Linked DNA regions of Notamacropus eugenii. The protein of the gene in region 2 purifies or fractionates together with the protein of the main gene of each other region. This does not show direct contact. Links are inferred from orthologs where the notes say so. Each region holds a gene or a part of one and is shown on either strand. Other genes may lie near its edges.

Region 1 (11,813 bases), on a different chromosome or scaffold from region 2:
ATAGGAGTGTGCTGGCAAATGTTTAGCAACATGGCTTGACTTTGTCTTTTTGCCCAGGGTCTGGTGATGTGAAGGGCAGAGGAAAGTATCCACACACACTTTTAAGTTTGATCTGCATTATTTACAATTTCCTAAGACTGAACAAAACAATCATTCAAGCACTGAATTGCAGTTATTGCTGATTTCTCACACTGAAAATTTAATAATCAACTCTCGAATTCCAGTTAAAGCTGGCTCTGACACACTCCTGGACACAATCTTTCTCAGAATTACATGGAACCCTATTCAACTAGTCTAATAAATCCTCACTACCTATATTAGGGTACTTTCTAATACACTAAAAAATGGCAAGTCTAAACATATGTATTTGATTTATTCGGTAATTTTGAGTAAGCCCAAGAGCTCCAGGAACATCTGTGCCCTCAGACTACAAACACATTTTTTCCAACTCAACCCTTACAAGGAACACCACCCTTATGAAGAAGGGGCCTGTCATGTCTACCACCAACCAAACAAGAACCCTGAAAACAGCACTCCCCAGACTACTCATTGACTCTACTTCCAGCCTGCTCTGCAGCCACAGTCCAGGGAAGTAACCTTTGTAGAGATGTGACCTAACAATGATCCTCTGCAGCTATATAGCCCCATCTCCTCAGCAAAGACTTAGAAAGGAAGGTTCTTGGCACCAAAAGCCATACCACTATCAAATGGTTCAATATCAGAAATCAATATGGCTTTATTAATGGAAATTACATTAAAGAACATGCATTACCTTTTGCTTTTTCCCTGAATCCCAAGGACTGTGGGGCTTTTCCATCTGACTTGCAGCTGAAATCTCCCATATGTGTTGTTTTCCTTTAATAGATGATGAAGTCCTTGAGAGCAGGGATTGTTTTGTTTTTCTTGTTGTATCCTGAAGCTTAGTACAGCATTTTTTGTTCTTTTTTAACAAAGCAAGCACTTAATAAATGCTTTTTCCTTCATTTCACTTTCTAATGCATCTCCAGTCTCTTTTACTGGCTCCTTCTCATCTGCCTACACAGAAGATTAGGTCACCCCAATTCTAAAAGAAAGCCTTTCTGTGACCTTTATATACCCTCCAGCTACCCTATCTTGTTTCTCTTCTCCCTTTCACCATTAAACTTCTTAACAAAGTTGTTTACACCCAACATTTTCTCACCACCCACTCTGACCAATACCATGCAATCTGGCTTCTGTTCTTACCACTTTATTGAAATTGGTCCAATCCTAATGGTTAAATCCAACGGTCTTTTATTCATTCCTCATCCTCCTTGACCTCTCTTCAGCTTCTGACACTGTGGGCCCTATCTTATTAGATACTTTTTAATCTCCTGGCTCTTGAAACAGCATACTCTCCTTAAAACATCAATATGAATGTCCTCCAAGATTCTGTCATTGGTCCTTCTTTTCATGTCCCTCTACAACTTTCTTCCTTGACAGTCCCATTTACTCCAGTACTCTTACTACAATCTCGATGCATATGGCTGCCAAATCTATTTCAACCCCGACTTCTTTTTCCATCAGCACAGATGATTTAATATATGCAGAAGAAAAAATTATCTTTCCACCTGAACCTATTTCTTCTTTTGAATCCAGTCAATAAGCATTTATTACTCACTGACTCTATGATAGACACTAGGGATACAAAAGCAAACAACCAGTCCCTGCTCTCAAGAAACTCACAATCTAGTGGAAAAGACAAAAATATAAACAACGTTGTGCAAAGAAGATATATGCAGAATAATTGGAGATAATTAACAGGGCTAGGGAAAGATTTCTTGCATAAGGCAGAGTTTTAACTGGTACTTGAAGGAATCCAGAAAGACTAAGAGACAGAAATGAGGGGGGAGAGAATTCTAGGCATTAGGAAACAGCCAATAAAAATAGTCTTGAAAATACCTGGATAGACTTATATGAACTGATGCTGAGTGAAGTGAGCAGAACCAGGAGAACATTACACACAATAACAGCCAAAGTGTTCAAGAACTGTTTTTGATAGACTTAGTCCTCCACAGCAAGGCAAGGACTTAAAACATTTCCAAAGGACTCATGATGCAAAATGCCATCCACATCCATAGAAAGAACTATGGAGTCAGAACACAGAATGAAGCAGACTATTTTCTCTTTTGTTATGTTTGGTTTTGTTTAGTTTTACTCATGCTTTCTCCCATTCATTTTAATTCTTCTATGCAATATGCCTAATGTGAAAATATGAAGAATGTATGTGTAGAGCCCACATAAGATTGCATACCATCTTGGAGAGGGAAAGCTGGGGGATAAAATTTAAAACTTATGAAAGTGATTGTTGAAAATTGAAAACAAATAAATAAATTTTGGGAAAAAATTGTCTTGAGTTGGAAGATGCGTATCTTGTGTGTGAGACAAGAAATGGGGACAGTGTCACTAGATCACCGAGTACAGAGAGGGGAGTAAGGTATTAGAGGACTAGAAAAGTAAGAATGGGACAGGTTATGAATGGTTTAAACACCAAACAGAGGAAGTAATGGTGAACCACTGGAGTTTGTTGAATAATAAATGATGATGACACAGTCAAGACCAATTTAAGAACTGAGTGGAGTATAGACTTGGAGTTGGCAGAGACTTGAGGCAGGAAGACCAACCAGAAAGTTACAGCAATAGTCAAAACATGATGTGATGAGGGCCTGCACCAGGTTGGCAAGTGTCCGAGAAGAAAAGGTAGTTCACAAGGTGGAATCAACAAGACTCAGCAACAGATTGGATACAGAAAGTGGGAGAGAGTGACGAGTCAAGAAGGATACCTAGGTTTTAAGCCTGGGTGACTGAGGATAATGGTAGTGCTCTCATCAATAACAGGAAAATTAGGAAGAGTAGAAGGACTTGGTGGGGGAGGGAAGATAAAGAATTTGGAATTCACTGTTTCTGAGGATTATGCCACCATTTTACCCAATCTCTCATCTTCAGAACTTTGGTGTTTTCCCTGATCTGTCTGTCTTCTCCACATTTCCTATGAACTCCATTACTGAATACTGCAGATTCCACCTTTGCAATTACTTTTACATTGATTTTTCCCAACTCTGTTCCCACTGTCAGTATGTCATTGCTATCAGTCTAGATCATTGTTACAGCCTCCTTACTGCTCTTCCTGCTTTCGTTCTACTATCTCCCATGTAGCCTGAATACCAAATTCTTGAGATTTATCTTCCTCAGTCTCTTCTCTGCTCAAAAGATCTTCCAGGGCTTTTCATTTTCCACTGGATAAAGTTTGAATCTTTTACCTAGAATTCAAGATCTCTCCCCAAAATATGGTACCCCTCAACCTTTAAAACCTTATTGCCTATAACATTCTTCCCCAGATTCTATCTTCTAGCTCAGTGGTTTCTCAAAGTGAGGTTCAGTGACTCCTAGATGATGGGGTATGGGACCTGAAACCCCAAAATGCTACCCAGCTCCTGAACTTTCCCACACATCCCCTTCTAGATATTCAATAATCCTTCCAACTGTCCTTTCACTGTGGCCCCAACCCAAGCAGGCCTTCAGTATGTGTTACCTATGGACCACCCCACACTACTTCCCACTCCTTAATCTCATCTAGACCCCTCTCTGTCACCTCCAGTCCTTTCTAGGCTACTTTCTGCTCCTAGATCACATCCAGATCTTTCGCACAGTCTTTCTGTATAAAATATCAACCATATCCCCTACTAAATTGCTCAGATTCCTAAAATCTGGCCCACTTGTATTGGCATCACAAATAGCACAGACTCACTAGGAATCTCGCCCACCCCAACTGGTGTTTTAATAAACAACTTGGACTGAAAAGAAGCTTGCGTGGTCAAATTCTTTAGTGGCAGACTCATGCCCTTTTGCCGTTGCAGTTTGGGGTTCCCAAGACCAGTAGAATTGCAACATAGAGACCCCATGACCTTTCTGGGAGTCTAAGAAGTCAAAACCATTTTCTAAAAATACTAAAAAAAAAAAAAACACCTTTAATTCATAATACAAAAAGTATTGATAGATACAACTCACATAAACAAAAAATTTTGAAGAATATCCTGAATAATTTTCATGAATGTTAAAGGGGTCCTGAGACCAAAAAAATTGAGAACTGCTCTTCCAGTCAAATTAGACTCCTTTCTCAAAAAAACTGAGCTTTCTTTTCTTGGACCTTTCTCATTCTTTAGTTGTCCTCTTATTTTCTTGTCAAATTCCTATATATCTTTCAAAGCTTAATTCATATACTACTTCTCTCATGTGCCTGATCCCCCAAATTGCTAGTTTTCCCTCTCTTATATTTTACATAACATAAAACTCTGGAAGATGTTGAGAGGAGGACAGATAAGATAGTGAAACACATTTAGAGCATATTGCATAAGGAACTGGAGCTGTTAGCTCGAGAAAAGAAGTAGGGGGAGGGGGACAAGGGGGGAGGAAGCAAGGCCAAAATAATTTGGTGCAGTGACAGGAGAACTGAACTTGAACCACAACTTGAACATGAATCCTTGCTCTTCTATTTACTATCTATCGAAACCTGGACAAGTTGGACTAGATGACCTCGAAGGTCCGTTTCAGGTCTAGATTAGATACACACTCAAATCTTCAGGCAACTGAAGAACTGTCATTAGGCTTGTTCTTCTTAGAGCCAAAAGACAACACTGAAAGCAAAGAGTAGAAGTTTCACAGAGGCAAATTGAATTTTGTTTTCAAGAAAGAAAGAAAAAAAATCCTAGAAATTAAGAGTCAATTTTCCAAAACGGAATGGACTGGAAAATAGTGGGATCTGACTTAGTAGAGGTCTACAAGCAAAGGTTGAATGACCACTAGTGAAATATGTTATTGAGATGACTCTTGTTTAAATATTAAGCCTGGAAAACAAGGCCAGTATACTGTTTCTGGCGCTAAGAGATAAGGGTCTAGGAGGTTAGACTATAGTTTCTGAAGACAGAGAACAAGGAGGATGAGGACTGAAAAGGGAAGCACTGGATTTAGCTATTATTTGAAATTTATCTAAGGTATGTCACCTAATATCGTGAACAACAGTTTCTTGGGTTTGAGCTTCATCATACTATCAGATGGGTGCCATGCTTTGATCAAATTAAGTAGACACTCAGTAGATCATTGAAACAGAGATGGAAAAGACCTTAGCCACTTAGTCTAGCACCCGCTTTTTACAAATGAGGAAATTGAGGCCCATGGAGGGTAAGTGATCTGCCCAAGATTATCCAGATAATAGTAACTATTAGAACCAGTACTTTTTATATCATATTAGGAAATCTCCAATAAATGCTTATGGAAATGAAAGGGCATAGAAGATAAAGGAGATGAACTTTTCTTTAAAGTCTCAAGATCTAGGGTGAAAGTAAAGAAGTATCTTCTCTCTCTCTCTATATATATATATACATATATACAGACATACATATATATGTATATATGCATATATAATATGGATTATATGATATAGGCCTTATATGCTAATACAGTCTCAAAATTGTTATGGGTTGATAGAAAAAATAAGTCATTGGAAGAGGGATATATTGCTTAGTCATCCTTAAATGTACTCATGCCTCCTAAGTCTCCTGGTGTAGTTATTATACTTTTGCACAATTCTATTTTTTTCCAATTCTAAAAGCAAGTCAGATTTTATCACAAATATTAACAATGGCAAACAAATTTTCAGCAATGGAATGTACTGATATCAGAAGAAGAAAAAAAAGGAATTGGTCCCAAAGAAACCTTTTACTTCTATGGTGGCATTAAATTCTATGTATTTAATCTTGAATATCCTCCCTCATGCTTTAATGACTTTTGGAAAGGAAAGGAACCACCTTTCCTCCCTTTTGTTTGATGCTAGTCAATGACATATTTTCTAACCCCCTCCTTCCCGAAAGAAGGAGCAAGTCTTGTCTAAAAGTATATATTTGTCCACTGTGAAATTCTGTTGTTTTTAATAGCTCATAAGGCCAAGAGAATTTTGAATTTAATAATCTATCTAAGTAGCTCTATCTCCTAAACACTGGGCTCATCCTAAGAAAACACCTATTAAAGAATTTTAAAGCCTGAAGGAAAAACCTTTAAGATCAACTAGTCTAAACTTTGATCCTGGAGTCAGAGAATCAGGATTTATCTACATCTCTGATAGCTGTATGTCCTTGGGCAATCAATGTCCAGGGCATTTAAAGTTATTTTAATTTTCTCATCTATAAAACGAGAGGGTTGTATTAAATAATCTTTGAAGTCCATTCCACTTTAGATCTATGATCCTTTGGCCTTTCATTTTATTGATGAAGAAGCTCAGGGAGGTGAATTCACTTGCTGGAGGTCATACAGCTAGTTTTGTTGGCAGAATCAAGCCTGGATTCCAGGTCCTTTGATTCCATTCCAGAGCTGATTTTCTGACTGCATTCCAGTGAAGTTAAGTGTTAGTAAACAGAAAAGGGAAACAAGTCTTAGGTGAGGGGAGGAGGAAAGAAAGGAGGGGAAGTCCAGACAGAGTGGGAGATTCTGGAGGGGGAGAGAGAAAGAGAAGACATAGGGAAAATGAGGAGGCAAAGGATAGTGGAGGGGCAAAAGAGAAAAGGGAGAAAGACAGAAAGAGGGGAAGAGAAAAGAAATGGAAAAGGATCAGAGAAAAGGATAGGCAGAAAGAGACAGAAGCAGAGAAAGAGAGATAAGAGGAGAAAGGAAAGAAGATGGGGAAAGTCAGGGAAACGGGAGATACAGAGAGGGAGAGAGGAGGAGGAGAAACAGGTAGAAAGATGTAGGGAGAAAAAGAAATACGGAAAGAAAAAGGGGAGAGAGGAAAAGAAAGGGAAAGAGAAAGGGGCAAGAGAAGAAAGGTAAAGAGCAAAAAAAAAAGGGAAGAGAAAGAGGGAAAAGAGTAAAAGGAGGTTAAATCCGAGAGAAGAAAGGAGAAGAGGTGAATGAGATGAGCGAGGGAAATAAGAATTTGGAAGATAAAAAAAGTGAGAATAAAAATTAAGAGGGAAAGTAAAGATGGACAAAGACTAGGAAGGGGAGACTATATAAAGGGGAAAGGAAAAAAGAGGGGAGGGGGAAACAGGGAGGTCAAGAAAAGAGGAGAGAGACAGAAAGAGGGGATAGAGAGAGGAGTGGAAGGGAAGGAGGAGGAGAATGGGGGGAATAACAGTGGGGGGAAGAGAGAGAAAAGGGGGAAGGCAGAAAGGGAAGAAGCGCGGGGAGAGGAGGACAGGAGGAGCAGGGTGCCGCAGAGGTGGCGCGCACCTGAGCGGGGCTAGCCCCAGGCCCCGCCCCCAGCGCCCCCCTTTCCCCAGTCCCCCGAGGCCCCGCCCCTAGAGGCGGGGCAGCGGGGCTCGGGGGCGGGGCTCGCGAGTGCCCAAAGGGAGCGGGACAGAGCCTCTCACTTCTGCCCCTGGGGGCCGGCCAGCCGGGGCGGGGCTGGGCGGAGCGTCGATTCCGTAAGGCGCTCGGGGGCCCCGAGCCCAGCCGGCGGCGCCCTCCCGCCCAACGGCTTGTCAACAGTCGCGGGGGTCCGAGAGGGAAGCCTCGGAAGCGGGCGAGGCCGTGCGTGCGTCCCGGATCCCCTCCCAGCTGGGCGGCCGGACTTGGCCCCGGGGAGGGGGCGGGATGTGCTCCGCCGGGGAGCTGCTGCGCGGCGCGGGCGGCGACGGGGAGCCGGACGAGGACGGGGACGGAGCCGAGTGCGGGCTGGAGGGGCCGGGGCCGGCGCCCGCGGAGCCGGAGGAGCCGGAGGACGGCGGCCGGAGCCTGCTCGAGGGGCAGCAGCAGCAGCCGAGGCGGCGCGGGCGGCCCCGGCAGCAGCAGCAGCGGCAGCAGCGTGGTCCTGGAGGAGGCGGCCAGGAGCAGCCCGAGCAGGTGAGCGAACGGGCGAGCGGGGCCGGAGCCCCGGGGCTGCCCGCCGGCCGGTGCCAGTGCGTGCCCGGAGCCGGGGGACGGACCGGAGCGCAGCGCTGCTCCACCCCGGGCGCCGGGGAAGTTTCGCTCCTGACGGGCTCCGCGCCCCGGCTGCCCGGCCTCGGAGTCCGCGCTCGGCGCGGGTACGGGGGGCACGCTGCCCCCTCTGCCACTTCTCCAGGGGCCGCCCGGGGACTGCGTCATGTGGGCAGCCTGGGAGCATCTGGGTCAAGGTGTATGCGTGGACAGGACCGCGGAGGGGGTGCGGAGGGGGTGCGGCGTGCCTGCTCTCCGGCGTGCGCGAAGGGGAGCCGGGGCAGCCCCGCGGCTCTGGGCATCCCCGCAGTCCGAGGGTCCTCTCCTCGCGCTCGGATGCCTCCCCACCCCCAGCAAGGTGCAGCGAGGGGGAAAAGGGGAGTGTCTGCCCCCGAGTTCGAAGCCTGGCTCTGCCACTTCTGTGTTCATGGGCATGTCGCTGATGCCCTCTCTGAGCCTCCATTTCCTCATAGGGTAGGAAGAATATTCAGCCAAGTGATCTCAGAAGTCCTTTCCAACTCTCAGATTGTGTGGTTTTATATGAGCCGGTATACATACCATACACTCCTCTCCAACTCTGACATGGCCTGATTCTTTCTTTGTATACACACCATATAAGTATGGTGTGTGTATAGGTAAATATATGTGTGTATGTGTAACTTACGCCTAGATACACTCATACTATCCATACATGTGTGTATGCTATATGGTTCTGTGTATGTATACATATGTGTGTATACTACACAACATATATGTACCATATATAAGAATCATGTGTGTATATGTGAAGTGTATGTGTGTGTATAGAAACACACACACCATACATATCTGGTCTGTATACAAAGAATCCTACGTGTGTTTACAAAGAAATATGTATACATATGTATACTTTCTATGGTATATATACAAAGCATATACACACTTTATATACTATGCATATATGGTATGAATACAAAGAATCATATACATGCACAGACATATACTATGTAGCATTATATATATGCATGTATGTGTACGTATTGTATAGTATAGTTTGTCAGTAAGTATTTATTAAGCTGTTGAAGTGTGCTGATTGCTGTGTTAAGCTCTGGAGAAACAAAGAAAGGTAAAGACAGCCCCTGTTCTCAAGGAGTTCACATTCTAAAGCGTGCAGATAATTTGTTACACAAAATATATACCAAGTAAATTGAAGGTAAGCTCAGTGGGAAGGCACTAACATTATGGGAGAAAGGAAAGGCTTCTTGAAGAGAAGGTGAGATTTTAGCATAGACACAGAAACTATAAACAGTCAAAGGGATTTGAACTGGGTGACTTCCAAGGTCCTTTTCAGTTCTAAATCCATGCCTTTAAGAGTGAAATGACATTTTAAAGGCCCTGGGAAATATGTTTTCCTCTTAGGTCATTCTCATACTTACCCATATTCACATATACCCATACTTACCCTATTCTGGAGAGCACTAATGTGTTATATCTGGCCTAACTCCCTTCTCATTCAAGTTCTTTTTTCTTTTCTTTAGTCTCAAAACAGCTGTTTACTACCTTATACACCGCATATATGTGGATATGTATTTTGCTTTCTTTATATGTTCCATACTTCTCCCAGTATTTGGCATGTAATAGGTGCTTAATAAATGCTTATTTTCTGACTTATATGTGAGGACATAATCCAGTATTCTTTCTACTTTATTGCTCAGTCAGAAGATGTAGATGAGCATCCTGAATTTGCTCACTTGCGGTATAACCTTGCCCAAATCACTGAATTTCTTTGGGTCTGATTTTCCCCAGAGTAAAAAGAGAGAAGTGAGCCTGATGATCTCAAAAGTCCCTACCGATGCTGCCATTCTGTAATTCTGTATGTGATTGTATATACACTGTGTACATAGCATATAGGTACACAGATACAGTATTTTGTGTGTATGATCAGGAACTGAAACTACAAACAGATGCTTTTTGATGTCAAGCAAGTTATTTCTAATCTCTGAAAGCAAATAGAATCGCATGCTGATAAAGAAGAAAAAAGAGAAACTGGTTTATGTTAGTATCAAAGGTGGAAGGGAACTGAGATAAGGGAAAATGAGAAAGTAGGCAACTCCAAAATCCCTCCTAGGCTGCTCCAGTCTCTTAATATCCTCAGTATATAACCAAAGCAATGGAAACAGAATGAAGTGGTCAGTGGTCAAAGGGAATGGAGCAAAGTTTAAGGTGAATTTTGACTAGTAAATACAGTAATTTGTAGCATGAAAAATGACCTAGGTAAATCACTTACTAGTCACATTAGTTAGCAAGAATATATTTTATTGTATATTACATTTCTTTGATTTTTCTACATGTCATATGAGCTCTTTGTTTATTTTATCTTTCTTTTTATCCCTAGCACTTATCACATTGCCTGGCACACAGCAGCTACTAATTGCTTGGTCACTGACTGACTGACCTATAGTTTGGTGAACAGAATTGCTACGTCTCTTCCTTCTCACCTGCTCTGCTCTACCTTTCCTCAAACACAAACTCCATTTCTAAATTAGTGTGTGTGTGTGTGTGTATGTATGTATATATTCCAATCAAGATAAATTATTTTAGCATATGAAGCAAAAAAAAAAAGAATTTTTTTAAAAGCACCCAAAAAGATATACTTTAGCACTGAGTTCAACTTTGACAACCTTAATTTATCACTGCTGACTATGGGATGACTAAAACCAAGAACTGGTAACCAGGATGGTTCTAAGCCCCTTCCTGGAACCTTCTCTGAGTTGGTTGCACAGTGACTAAGTAACAAAAAACTTGACTTTCTTATACCGTAATCCCTGAAATGGAAAAATAAGCCTAGGAATCAGAAATCTAATTGAAATGAGTTTGGGTAGGGGGATTTGGGGAGGGGTAGTGTCTGAGAGGAATATTCAAGAGAGAAATTCCTAAATAAGTGATCAGATGGATCTAAAGTATTTGATCATAGCTAACATTTATACAGTGCTTTCAGGTTTACAGTAAAGCACGTGTCTTATATTATCTCATGGGACCCTCATAATTCTGTGAGACCAGTGCTGTTATTCTTATTCCAGTTTTACAGATAAAGAAACTGAGGCAGAAAGAGGTTAAGGGTCTTGCCCATTATCATGAGGTAATAAATATCCCAAGTGAAGGTCTTCATGACTGGTAGGCTAACTACCGCTCCACTTAGCTATCAATTCTTATGAGGTCAACTTGTTGCCCATATAGGTGAGTCTTCATTTGTGGCCCTTATGTCATGAAAAGTTATTTTTGACCAAAAAAAAAAAAAATGAACCAGAGAGCAAAGGAATATGCTTAGTAGCATTAGAGATTTTTTTATGTCACTATAAGGCATGTATATCTTTCCTTCTTTTTATAAATGCAAAGTTCAGTTTCAGATAGGCTTTTGAAATGGAAATAGATTATTCCATTTGGCGGCTGGAAGAAAGTGTTTAGCCAAGCCCACTGGCAATTTACAGTACTGTGTAGTTGAAAACTACACTGGAGTCATGATTGATTTACTCAGTCAATATTACAGCTATACCAGTGATATTGAATACTTCTTAGTCAAGGAGCCCAGAACATATTAAAATTCATTGCAATTAGAAACTGCATTCATTCAAAGGGGACAGAAGCAAATTCTAGAGGAAAAGCAACTCTTTTTATAAGCTGTTATGAACATAAAGACATTTCATTGTTATCTTATCATGAAAATGTAATTTATAATTTCACCTGTTGTCTGTAGAAGCAAAAAATTGTTACCAGGAGAGTTCTGAACCACCACCACCTTCCCTCCCTCTTTTTCTGGTAGCCTTCCAGGGACAGGCAAACAACAGGTACTTACTACTTGCTAGGTACTGTGTTGGACATTGGGGATACAAAATGCAAACAAAAAGAAA
Region 2 (11,455 bases):
GGACTAGAGTAGACTTATGTTGGTTTCTCCTCTTTTTTTTGGCTTTTAAAAGCCTTGTGCTTGCCAAGACCAAGCGATGTTGCCTCTGGAGTTCAACATCTCAGCTAATGATCATATTGGACTCTGTTATGTGATTTTACTGAGAGGCTTGCATTATTCTAAATTTGCAGAGAACTTGGAAAGTGACCCCGTCTCATTAAGTCTCCTCCAGCTCTGTGCAAACAACATGGCAGAATCTGGCATCTGTTAAAAGAGTGAAATAAAACAGCTCTGCTCCTAGTCACTTGACAAGAGTCCCTTCAGAAGACGATTAGGTGGGCTCGGTACCACCAATGCTCTTTAATCTATGACTTCTGAGAAAGTGACAGTATAATAAGATAACTGGACTGCTAGACTCTCTGGCTCTGTTAAATCTCTCTAACAGTTGATTAAGAAAGAGCAGTTTCTAATGACTCAGGACCATTAGTCCTAAATAAGGTTAATGAATTAATTTAGCAGGCACTGGCATTTGGGAGGAGGTGGACATGGCTTTAGAAGCTCTGATAAGTTAAAGAGGGTGGCCTTGGTGACTCCACTGCTGCTGGAGCTTTTTTTTTTTTCAAACTCTAACTGAATGAGTGGCTGCATCTCTGTTTCTTTACCAGTCCCCATTACTCCTGCTAAGCATTTGAAGAAATATGACATCGTAGTTGCTATGTAATTTTCTACAACCTTTTGCATTTGATTTCAAATCCCCTATTGGTGCACTTCTCTCACCATACATACAAAGTCTGCCATGAATGAGGTGGGGGGGAAGGCTGTTAATTTCCAAGTACTGGTCAGTTGAACTCATTCAAATGGAAGAGGGGATTATCTTACCCCCCCCCCCCCATACCCTTGCTATGAGAGTTCAGAAAGATACCACCAACTGGAGTTCATTAATAAGTCACAAATTAACATTCACACATTTTTACCTTCCTAGCATATTTGCGAGAACACGGTGGTTGCGGAGGGGGGAATCTATTGCTTAAATCACACAGCCTCCTGAAAACATATTAGAGAGATTAACTTCCATCATAAAACCCTGATTTAAATTCCTCTCAGTATAAAACACTCCACTTGTGGTCTCTTATTAAAACAATATACCACAATAAGTAGTGGATGTTCTTTTCTTCTAATTACTTTGATTGAAATCCAAGTCAGGCAAAAGCAAATATTTGATAATTAGTTAATAATAATTGCTGAAGGCTTAACTGAAAAGAGATTTTCACATCCCAGCCTTCACCTACTTTAAAGTGGGAGGCAAACAATCCCAGAGCCAGATTACATTTTAAAATATTATTTATGTTACATGGTCCTGTTTATAGCCCACATATTCTGTCGTTTACTTAACCCGAAGAGATTTTAAAATCAAACTGAACAGTGGAGATTTTCAAATAAGCTCATCTCCTACGCTGTAGATATCAAATTCCTTTATTGACACTGGAACTTTCATTCAAACTCCAGACTTTCATGACAGGATTGGGGGACAGATGACTAGCAGCACTCGGAAAAACACACATCCCGCATCAATACCTGCGGATACACACCAGAGCCTGCTGGATATTTGGGATACTAAGAAGCCTAGGAAGTTTCCTCTTTAAAGCGTTCATTAACTTTCAGCAGCCATCAAAATTTTGAAAGGGATTCTCATCTAATTGCCTTTGGGAGGAAACATTATTACGATAATTGGTGCGCTGATCTGGTAAGGTAGGCAATTTTGCTTTGTAACAGAGAGGAAACACACACACACACACACACACACACACACACACACACACACACACACACACACACACACACACACACACACACGTTCTGAAATCCTCTTGATGTAAAACGCTTAACATCTTCTCCTCCCCCCTCCAAAAAAGTTTCGTTTAGGCCATGAGAAGGCTAGCGAGTGCCCGCGTCCCGAGCAGCTGTGGCGAGGTGCCCACCCAGCTAGAAGGCGCAGGCGAGTCCTCACTCGGAGCAGCGCCCACCCGGGGTTCCTGCGCCCTCCAGCCCGGGGCCCAGCGGCGTGCGTGCGGCTGTCAGACGCTCCTCTCCCGCCGCCTGCTGCTGTCACTTACCGTTCCGAACCGCGCTGGTAAGGGCAACCGTGAGCGCGGCGCAGTGCAGGACGAGCAGCCCCCAATCCATTCTCCTCAGCCAGGACGCGGAAAGCCTCAGGCAGAGAAAAAAAGACTCGGGGAGGGGGACGAAGGAGACAAATAGAAGGGGGAGGGCAGAAGGGAAAGGGGGGGAAAAAACTCCCTGGACCGCCCCAAGTCCTCCCGCAGCTTGAAAATCCTTCAGGCTGACTTAGAGAAAAGCAAGCAGCAGCGGAACACTGCCTTGATCCGGGAGAAATGCTTCTCTTTTTGTGTCTCAAGTCGCCTGCATCCTGTCATTTAGCTCCGGTTTCCTCTCTCTTTTCCCACACTTGTTCCTCTTCCAAGAGCCGCTGCCCGGGCCATTTCCAAAAAAAAAAAAAAAAAAAAAAAAAAAAAAAAAAAAAAAAAAATCCCAACGTGCGGGTGGGTGGAGAAGGTCTCGGTGTTGGAGGGAGGAAGAAGGGAGACACGGATAGCCTAAAGACAATTTCCAAAAAGGAAAGAAGAGGGGAAAAAAATCCGGTGTCTTTTTTTTCTTGACCCCCTTGAAACTGAAGAGATCGCGCCCAGGGGAGGTCCGGTGGGTGTCTGCGGGAAGGAGAGAAGCAAGCAATTGAAATGATGAGCCGAGACAGAGAGGAGTTTCACAAACTGCACACCCGCCTCTTTTTCCCCTCCCTCTCTCCTTCCGTCTTCCCCTCCCCTCCTCTCCTCTCCCCTTTTCCTCTCTTTCTCCCTCCCTCTTTCCCCGATAAGCTCGCCTGTAAATCGCCTGACAAGAGGCAGGCAGCAGAGTAAGTTTCCCTCAGTGTTTTTCTCCGTCAGTCCGTCTGTCTCTGAGTCCCCGCTAGGGCTCTCTAAGCGTAGGAGGTGTATGTGTGGAAGGAAGGCGCCAGGGGCAATGGGTCTCGGTGCCAACTAGTAGGCAGTCTCTCCTTGGGCAGTGGAAAAAGAAGGGCACAGCTAGCAAAGCAAGGCAGGGCCTCCGTGTGACCTGCCTGTAGGATGCTGCTAGCTCCGGGGTTGGAGGGACCCGGGAGAGGAGTCCTGGGGTAGCAGCAGCAGCCGCCGCAGAGAGAGGGACTCGAAATCCTGGAGGACAGGAGTGCCAAACGCCCGGGAGGCGGCAGCTTGTTCTTGCAACTCACAAGTCGCCTGCTGCTGCTGTTGCTGTTGCCACCGCTGCCACTGCTGAAGGAGGAGAGGGGTTTGTCTGCACCCAAGCCAGCAGAGGCGCAGCTGTCCCAGCCCCCACCCCTGCCTCCCTGACCTCTCCAGCCCCCATAGTGGTCTCCGGAGCTCCAGTGTCGGTTGGAGGAGAGGTGGACTGCGCCTTCCCCACCTTCAGACAGGCTGGGGGATGGCAGCCAGTTCCACTTAAAGCCAAGTGAAATCGATTAAGCGTAAGATGCCCATCTGCCTCAAGAGACAACCCAGGGCAGGGAGTCTGAGCAAGCAGCTTGGGGGGGGGGGTAACTCAGGCTATACAACTCGGTGCCCGGGGCGCTGCCCACCCGCTCCATTGTTCACCAGTCCCGGGTGCCCTGTAGCCCAAAGGTGGAGGGGAAAGGACAGTAGGGGATCTGGATCCAAGTCGAGATATAACTGTCGCCCAGCCCCACCCGTTCATTTTGCTTGTGAGCCTAGGTGCTCCTCGGTTCCCATTTTAAAGGCACCAAGCCTACTGTGTCCCTAGATTCCCAAGGGGAAGGAGAGGAGGAACCTTTGTCCACCTCTACTGAGCTTCGCTGCACCCTTCCAGCAACAGGCAGGGAGCATGTAGGGGCTGATCTTCTAGCTTCTCTCTCCCCCACACCCCCGCCCAACTCTCGTCCCTCTTGGGAGGGGTGTTCAGACCAGCAACTGACTGGTCCCTGGTTCCCTCACCCTAGGATTCTTCCTAGCTCCTTTCACAGATAGCGGCTATTGAAGATCGTCAGTACACCAGAACAGATAAAACATTTCACATGGAATAAACAGGAGGAGACCAAGGGATTAAGCACTCTAGGTAGACAGTTGCCCCGAGGATAGCCACGGAAGCAGGATGTTTTGGAAACCGTGAGGTCACGGCATTTCCCCAGTGTTTGGCGCTTATTGACACACCCCGAAATCGGAACTTACTCCTACTTGGCACGCGAGAGAGAGAGAGATCTGTCAAGGGCAATTTACAGAGAACTGGAAAAGGAGACTAGACAAGGAGCCCGGGATCCTGGCTACACAACCAGGGAGTGCAGAGAGAGCAAGTGGGAAATCACGCGTCTCCTCCCAGAGCACTGTTAGGGGCGTTGGTTCCAAATCCCGAAATAGTGGAGCCCAGAGAAGTACTCTCTGTTCTGGGTCTCCACGCTGCTTGTCTATCTCCTGCGGGGCTAGAGGATGGACTGGTGCGTCAGTCTCAAGCCCATCCCAAAGCACTCACCCAAACTGCCTGCTGTCTCCCCTTCCCCCGGAGCCTTTCCCCATGCGCCGCCTGCTGAGTACCTCTCACCCAATCTCCTCACCTGAGACCCCGACCAACCCTGCCCCCTGGCACGCCTCCTTGCCCGTCTCCAGCCCTTAGATCCGCCCCTACTCCCGCCTCCCTCAAGGAGGCCGCTGGAGGCGCTGCTAGGGAAGCTAGACTCTGGCTAGGGTGCCAGCGCTAAGCAGGCGAGGGTGGGATGTGCGGTAGCGTATTGTAACAAGGCATAACGCAGCCTTGCCCATCTGACCGACGAGCGGGAAGGGCTCCCTCCCTGAATCCCGGGCTGGCGTTCTTTCCTGTCTTTTTGTCTCAACATCTCTCTTCCTCCTTCCCTCTCCAGCCAGCCTAGTAACTGCAATCCAGCTTCTAATCTACATGGAGCCAGCCAGGAACACAAAGGTCTGAGGGGTTGCTCGTCCCCCTTCCCACCGCCCATTCAGAGGCAGAGGTAGAAAAACAACCCGAGGGTTCAGGCAGGTTGACAAAGAGTTGGGCAGTGGGACCGGTAGGAGTGTCCTGGGGACATCCCGGAGTCGGCTCCGTGTGTGCTCAGCCTGTGTTCGTCCCTCTAGTCCTCCTCTTTCAAGGCTTTCAAGGCTAAGCCAAGGGGGCTCGCAAAGAATAATTTTTCTCCTGTTTTTTTTTTTTTGTCTGCTTTTAGAAAAGTGCTAGTTCTCTTTCCTTGCTGAGTGCTGCCTTCCTGTTATCCATCTCCCAAACTATCAGATTTGAGATGTCCTTCTATGCCACCCTACCCCCAAGGACCCCCTGGCAGAACTGTTCAATGTAAACTGTTCGCTTTTCCTTCTCACCAGCTATGGGCATTTGCCAACTTCTTTCTTCAACCACCTTAAAAAAAATTAGCTCTGCAAGATGAATAAATCCTGATTTCCGAGTCCTATTATTCCCCCTATGTCCAACCCCTAAATCCTCCCACAATTTGCCTAGTTTTAGCCGGCCTGGCTGCTGGTTTTTGTTCCAGCCTCGCCTTGATTTCCCCGAACGCCTGCATGGGGGCTGATCCAGAGAAAACTACTTGCTTATTACCTCTTTTCTGACACCACCAGTACTGCTGTAAAAAACCAATCAGAGATTTCTACAAGCTTCAGAAAGAGGTGGGGAGGGGAGCACAGGAGTAGTGGGTAGAGGGAGGAGAGATTGACGTCCATAAGAGAATAAGGGAGAGACCCTTGAGGTATTTAGCAGTTTTCCCTAGGTTAGCATTATTTTAAGGTCTCACCTGATCCTGAGTTTGGGCTGATGAACACCTCATTCAAGCTTAAGTCCAGCCAATATTCTGACCTGGTCAGACCCAGTTTCGTTGAATTAAGCATTCACCCACTAGCATTTTCATTTCATTGAGCCAGGGCTTGGTCCTTGAATCAGCAATATCCAGTTTCATTGACGCTCCCAGAAGCTACTCAGGCCCCAGAAGCTGGCTTTGATCCCACTGAGCCAAGCTGGAATCAGTGGGCTTTTTTTTTTTTTTAATGAATACTGTGTGGTAAAAGCTCAATATCTTCCATCATCTTATCAATTTGTCAGAAATTAGTTTAGATCCACTGTCCCCAGAAGGCCATTTTGACCACTCAACTTTATCAAATAATTTTGGGTTGAAGCAATATGGAAAATCAAGTCGACATTTTAGAATTCAGTGAAAGACTGTAAACACCCAGACACATTTAATATTGAAAAGACTCAACGCAGAATACAATTAATACTCAGAAGAATGGGTAACTTTAAAAAATTAAACACCAAAAACATAATTAAAGGTGAACTGCAATTAAAATTTATTCCATTTTAGGTAGAATGGCAATCATATTAAGTGGCACTACCATATAAATAATGTAATTTACAAAGAAAGCATGCAGGACCCTATTTACAGCTATCCATCTCCATTTTAAATAGCAGCAGGGGAAGGAAAAAATAAACAATCCTTCATGATAGCTCAAGTCAGATCTTTGAAAAAGGAACATAATATTGGAGAAAAACCCAACAATATGCATTTTTAAGTCAGTGCCATACAAGTGACTTTTCAGTAAGGGGATATATGAGAAGTCACATAGTATCAATGTCCAACTTTAAATGTTGCACCTAGTCTGAGTCAATAAGAAGGTTCCCTGAGGACAAGGGATCTAATCTCATTGTTCTGTATTAATGTATTTAGAGTCTAAGTTATGAAGTTTCTCTGAGTGAATTTTAAAACAAAAATCATTAAAGGAAATTAAGTGAAATTAAAATCATATTAGACAATATGAAAATCATTAAGCAATTAAATTTAAAAATCATTAGGTGAAAAAATATATGAATGACAATTTAGAAAGAAGTTATGTTCAAATTATTAGAGAAATTTAAGAACATCATCAAAGAATACTCAAAATACAAAAGAAGTAACTTTCCCCTAAGATTTAACTGAAATCTTATAAAGTAAATAAATTTTAAAATAAGTTCAGAAAAATATTGAAACAGTAAGTATTTTATGACTTCATAGAGAATTTAAAAGTTGATTCTATTTTTCAAATATAAAACCAACAGACTCAAAGCCACAGCCACTTTTACCTTTTATGGTTTCCTTTACAATTTACCAATATAGGTAGTTTCTAATTTACAAGACTGTTGTGGTCTAAAAGTTTCTTTGTAAGTCAGTTGTTTAGGGCTCTAGTAATTTCCCATGGAAAACATGGTGGTTCTCAAAAACCCGCAAAGGGCTGTTTAACCCACAGTGAAACTGAATCATAGAATTCTATTATTTTAGGGTTTGTTTAGGGAGTGTGTGTGTGTGGGGGTGAACTACCCTGGGAATATAGCCACTTTATTAACACATTTTCTTTGAAAAATATTCCAAATTATGTAAGGAGAAGAAAGCTCAGGGAGATCTGGAACATAGAGTTCCCCCTTTCCTTTTGCATAACATATCCGGAATGAATGTTGGTATCTAAAGGCAGGCAGCAACAGGGAAACATCATATGCCACTCACCCTCCCTTCAAGGTAGATGAGGAAGCCACTGATTGCCTTATCTGAATCTAAAAGGGAACAGTTTTGTAAACTTGAAGAAAATTGATTATGTTCCAGAAGGAGTTGGGACCCCAAAAGGGAAAGACTGTTGATGTTTATCTCTGTGAGTCAGGAAATACCTGTAATACAAAAAATACTTTGGCTATTGGAAATTTAAAATAACATGAAAATTATTTTCCATTTTCTTGATAATTCCAGCAAAGCAATGCTAGATTTGGTGTTGCTATCACTTATGGGAAAATTATCAACCTTTGCTTATATAAAAGGAGTTGACCAGGGGATCCCTGGTCAATTTGATGAGTTCTCCTCCTTTCTCCTCCAAATTGATGAGATTCCAAGAGTGAAAGATATGCAATCTAGTACCTTTAGAAGAAGACTCAGGGAATTCCTCTGATTAGTTCCCAGTGATTCTGGCTACCTCCAAGATGAGTAGGACCTAAGTTAGGAGTGTGAGGTGGTGGGGTGGGGACAGACAAGCAATTTGGACCTTACCAACCCCTCTATTGCCATGAGTTGCTCAGATGATACAGGTGTAAGCTGAATGGAAAGTATTGAAAAAGAAATGTATGTTTCTGGGTATATATGTATGTATATATGTATATGTATGTGTGAGAGCCTAACAGACTGTTGGAGTGATTGATTTTTCTGTACTTGTTCATACACTCCCATGAGTCCTTTGTGTCTTATGCATTTTCTCTAGTGGGAGAAATGAAAGCATATGTATGTTTAGTGCTCACTGAGGAGGTGGGGGTCCTTGTTACTAATATTTGGACAAACTTAGTGTAAGTCATGCCCAAAATTTATTCTGGAGATTTCTTATGAGTGAGACATCTAGGGAGGGAGCAAAAGCCAGAGGGGGAAAAATGACCTTCTTGAGGAGGTAGTTAGAACTCTGGAGTGGCCTTGGGTCTTTGTGAACCCAGAGTCTGGGAGGAGGGAGAACACTGATCTTGGGCACTATTTAAATTGGATTTGGCATTTTATACTGAAGGCAGATTTTCACACAATCAAATGAATTGCAGGCAGGCAAGAACAAATACACATTTATTAACCAACTATTATGTGCCAGGCACTGTGCTAAAGTCTTTACAAACCTTCTCTCATTTGATCCTCAAAACAACCCTGGGAGGTAGGTGCTCTTGTTATCCCAGCTTTACTGCTGAGGAAACTGAAGCAGACCTAGGTTAAGTGACTTGCCTAGGGTCACACAGCTAGGGAATGTCTAAGGTTGGGCTTGAAATTGGTTCTTCCAGACTCCAGGCCAGGCACTCTAGTCACTAAATCACCCTGCCACCATGCACACAAACCTTAAAATAATCCAGAGAAAAGATGGAGCTGTAGTTACTTGGACCTAGTAAACACAGTCTCATTCCTGTCCTCAGTTTAGTTTCCAGCTGTGCTCCTCAGATCTGAACAGGGTCTTGTGCGTGCTAGGTACCTAGGAAGTACTGATGATCCATCCTTAGCTCCATTCTTTATCTCAGTGGAACTGCTGGAAGGCCAAGTAATGGATTCTGTGGCGGAGTGGAGAAGAACAGGGCTTTCTTGGAAAGTTTATAGACTAGAATAGCGTCAGTTCACACATAACAACAGATTCCTAGCTTTTTCAGGCAGTTTCTTAAAGTTGTCAAATGATTTTAAATACCCCCAACAAAAATTCAAAACACGAATGTTGACAGCCAAGAGAAATATCTAATAAGTTCTGAGTGGGTCTCCCTCTCTATTGCCTTACTTCATCTTCCACCAGAAATTTTTCAATGAAAATTCTGTGTATAGACTAGGTCAGGGGTGGGGAATCTGGATTCAGTCAAAGTGCCACACTTCAGGACATAAAGGGCCACATGTGACCTCAAGGCTTCAGGCTCCCTACCCCTGACTAGGCAAAAGGAAATATGGACATTGAGGACGTGAGATTTTAGAGCAACAGACTATTAAACTATACACACACACATACACGTGTATACGTATATATATACACACATACAGAAATATATTTATATACACATATTTACATAAACATATGTGTATATAATTTTTTTTGGCAAAGCAATCAGGGTTAAATGACTTGCCCAGGGTTACATAGCTAGTAAGTGTCAAGTGTCTAAAGCCAGATTTGAACTCAGGTTCTCCTGCTACCTCAGTGTCCCCAAATATATATTATCTTAAAGGGCCAGAGTCAGAATCATCTTCCTGAGTTCAAATCTGGCCTCAGATGCTTACTAGTTGTGTGACCCTGTGAAGTCCCTTAACCCTCTTTGCCTCAGTTTCCTCATCAGTAAAATCAGCTGGAGAAGGAAATGGCAAACCACTGCAGTATCTTTGCCAAGAAAACCACAGATGGGGTCATGAAGAGTCAGACACAACTAAATAACAAGAAAAATATTTTATTTTACTTTAGTTTTTTATTATTTATTTTTAACACAGTTTATAACAGATAAAGCAATTCCAACTTTTGGTCAGGCGATACTTCTTTTTAAAGCATTTACAATATGGACCACAAAAGAATTTTTTTAAAAACATTAACCAACTGAGACATAAATAATATTTATGTTGCTAACTTCAAAAGCTCTTGACCTAATTGTCTCCACAGTATTACTAAGAATTAAAGGACCCTAACTTATTGTTGTTGGTCTAAAGTCCTATGCCTAATAGCTTAATTTTAGACAACCTCAAATGTTCCCCTACCCATAATCTATAACTGAATAGATCTGGTATTAAGCTTACAAACCTTTTGACTATAGGAAATTGCCACCAAGAGTAGAGACAGTGCAGGGATATAATATTTCCCCAACTTCATGTCACTTCCAGGCAGGATTAGATTATCCACTTGCATTGTCAGGCTTAAAGTCTGCCAGGTGTCAGTGGGGAAATTGAGTCAGGAGAATTCCACCTCAGCCCATGCTGAACAGCTGCTCTCCCACCCTTCCCTTGAGATCACCTATGCAGTTCATACTAGCATGTCATCAGTTTACTGGCATTATGGATTACAGGCTCAGATTGCCTTTCTTGGTACCTATACCCAGAATTAGACTCAGAAGAACAGTCACTTAACAGTCCCATAGCATCTAACAATGGCAAATTCCAATAACCAGGAAGAAAAATATTTTAAAAGATGAACTCCCTTGGAGCAAGAAGAGTATTACAATTTTTTTCTTCATAACCTCAGAACCTATCACCCCTCCTTGTCCTCATTAGATGCTTAGTAAATGAACAAAATGGAATATAGCCTTAAACATAAAATAAAAAGACCTCCAAAGCAGAATGTCTACACTGATCACAAATTGTGTTCAGGTAGACACTGGACTCATATATCTTAAAAGCAAATCTTCATTTTCTAAATGGAGAAACTGAGGCACAAAGCCTTCACTTCAAGAGCAGCTGGAAGAGCAGAGCTAAGCCATACTACCAGCCTTGTTTCCAGCCTGTTGTAGCCATCACCCAGGGAATCAACCGGGTTGAGGGGGATGGTTGATGAAATTTGTCAATTGCTTCTGCAAGAGCTGAAGACTCTTTTTCCTTCAGAAATATAATTACTGAAAACTGGGAAAAGAAAGTTCTCACATCTAACCTCACTACCAAATAGTCCAACCTCAGAAATGGCTATGGTTTTATTGGTGGAAATTGCATCGAAAAAGATAGATTATTACTTGCTTTGTAGTTCTGCTCTGAAGGCCACGGCACCTTTCCATCTGATTTGCAGCTAAAACTGCCTCCGTGTTACCTCTCTCCATTAGAATGTGAGCTCCTTGAGATCAGGGTCCATTCTGCCTTTTGAATTGCATTCCTAGGTCAACACACTGCTTTGTACATAGTAAGCACTTAATAAATGCTCTTTAATTCATTTATTCACAGAGATTA

Evidence for each region.
Region 1: the proteins of NRP1 (region 2) and FAM241A purify together in Homo sapiens (affinity purification with mass spectrometry; 3 studies listed by BioGRID and IntAct, with this or other methods). This does not show direct contact. The link is inferred for Notamacropus eugenii from reciprocal best matches to the Homo sapiens genes NRP1 and FAM241A.

What each region holds. Positions count from the first base shown.
Region 1 is NC_092878.1:117,823,439-117,835,251, reverse strand, and holds the start of FAM241A (uncharacterized protein FAM241A), read left to right. Parts: upstream 1-7,473; 5' UTR 7,474-7,602; coding exon 7,603-7,851; intron 7,852-11,813.
Region 2 is NC_092874.1:73,280,160-73,291,614, forward strand, and holds the start of NRP1 (neuropilin-1), read right to left. Parts: upstream 4,616-11,455; 5' UTR 4,537-4,615; intron 3,307-4,536; exon of another isoform or gene 3,116-3,306; intron 3,052-3,115; exon of another isoform or gene 2,879-3,051; intron 2,706-2,878; 5' UTR 2,164-2,705; coding exon 2,094-2,163; intron 1-2,093. UniProt on the Homo sapiens protein: Cell-surface receptor involved in the development of the cardiovascular system, in angiogenesis, in the formation of certain neuronal circuits and in organogenesis outside the nervous system. Mediates the chemorepulsant activity of semaphorins.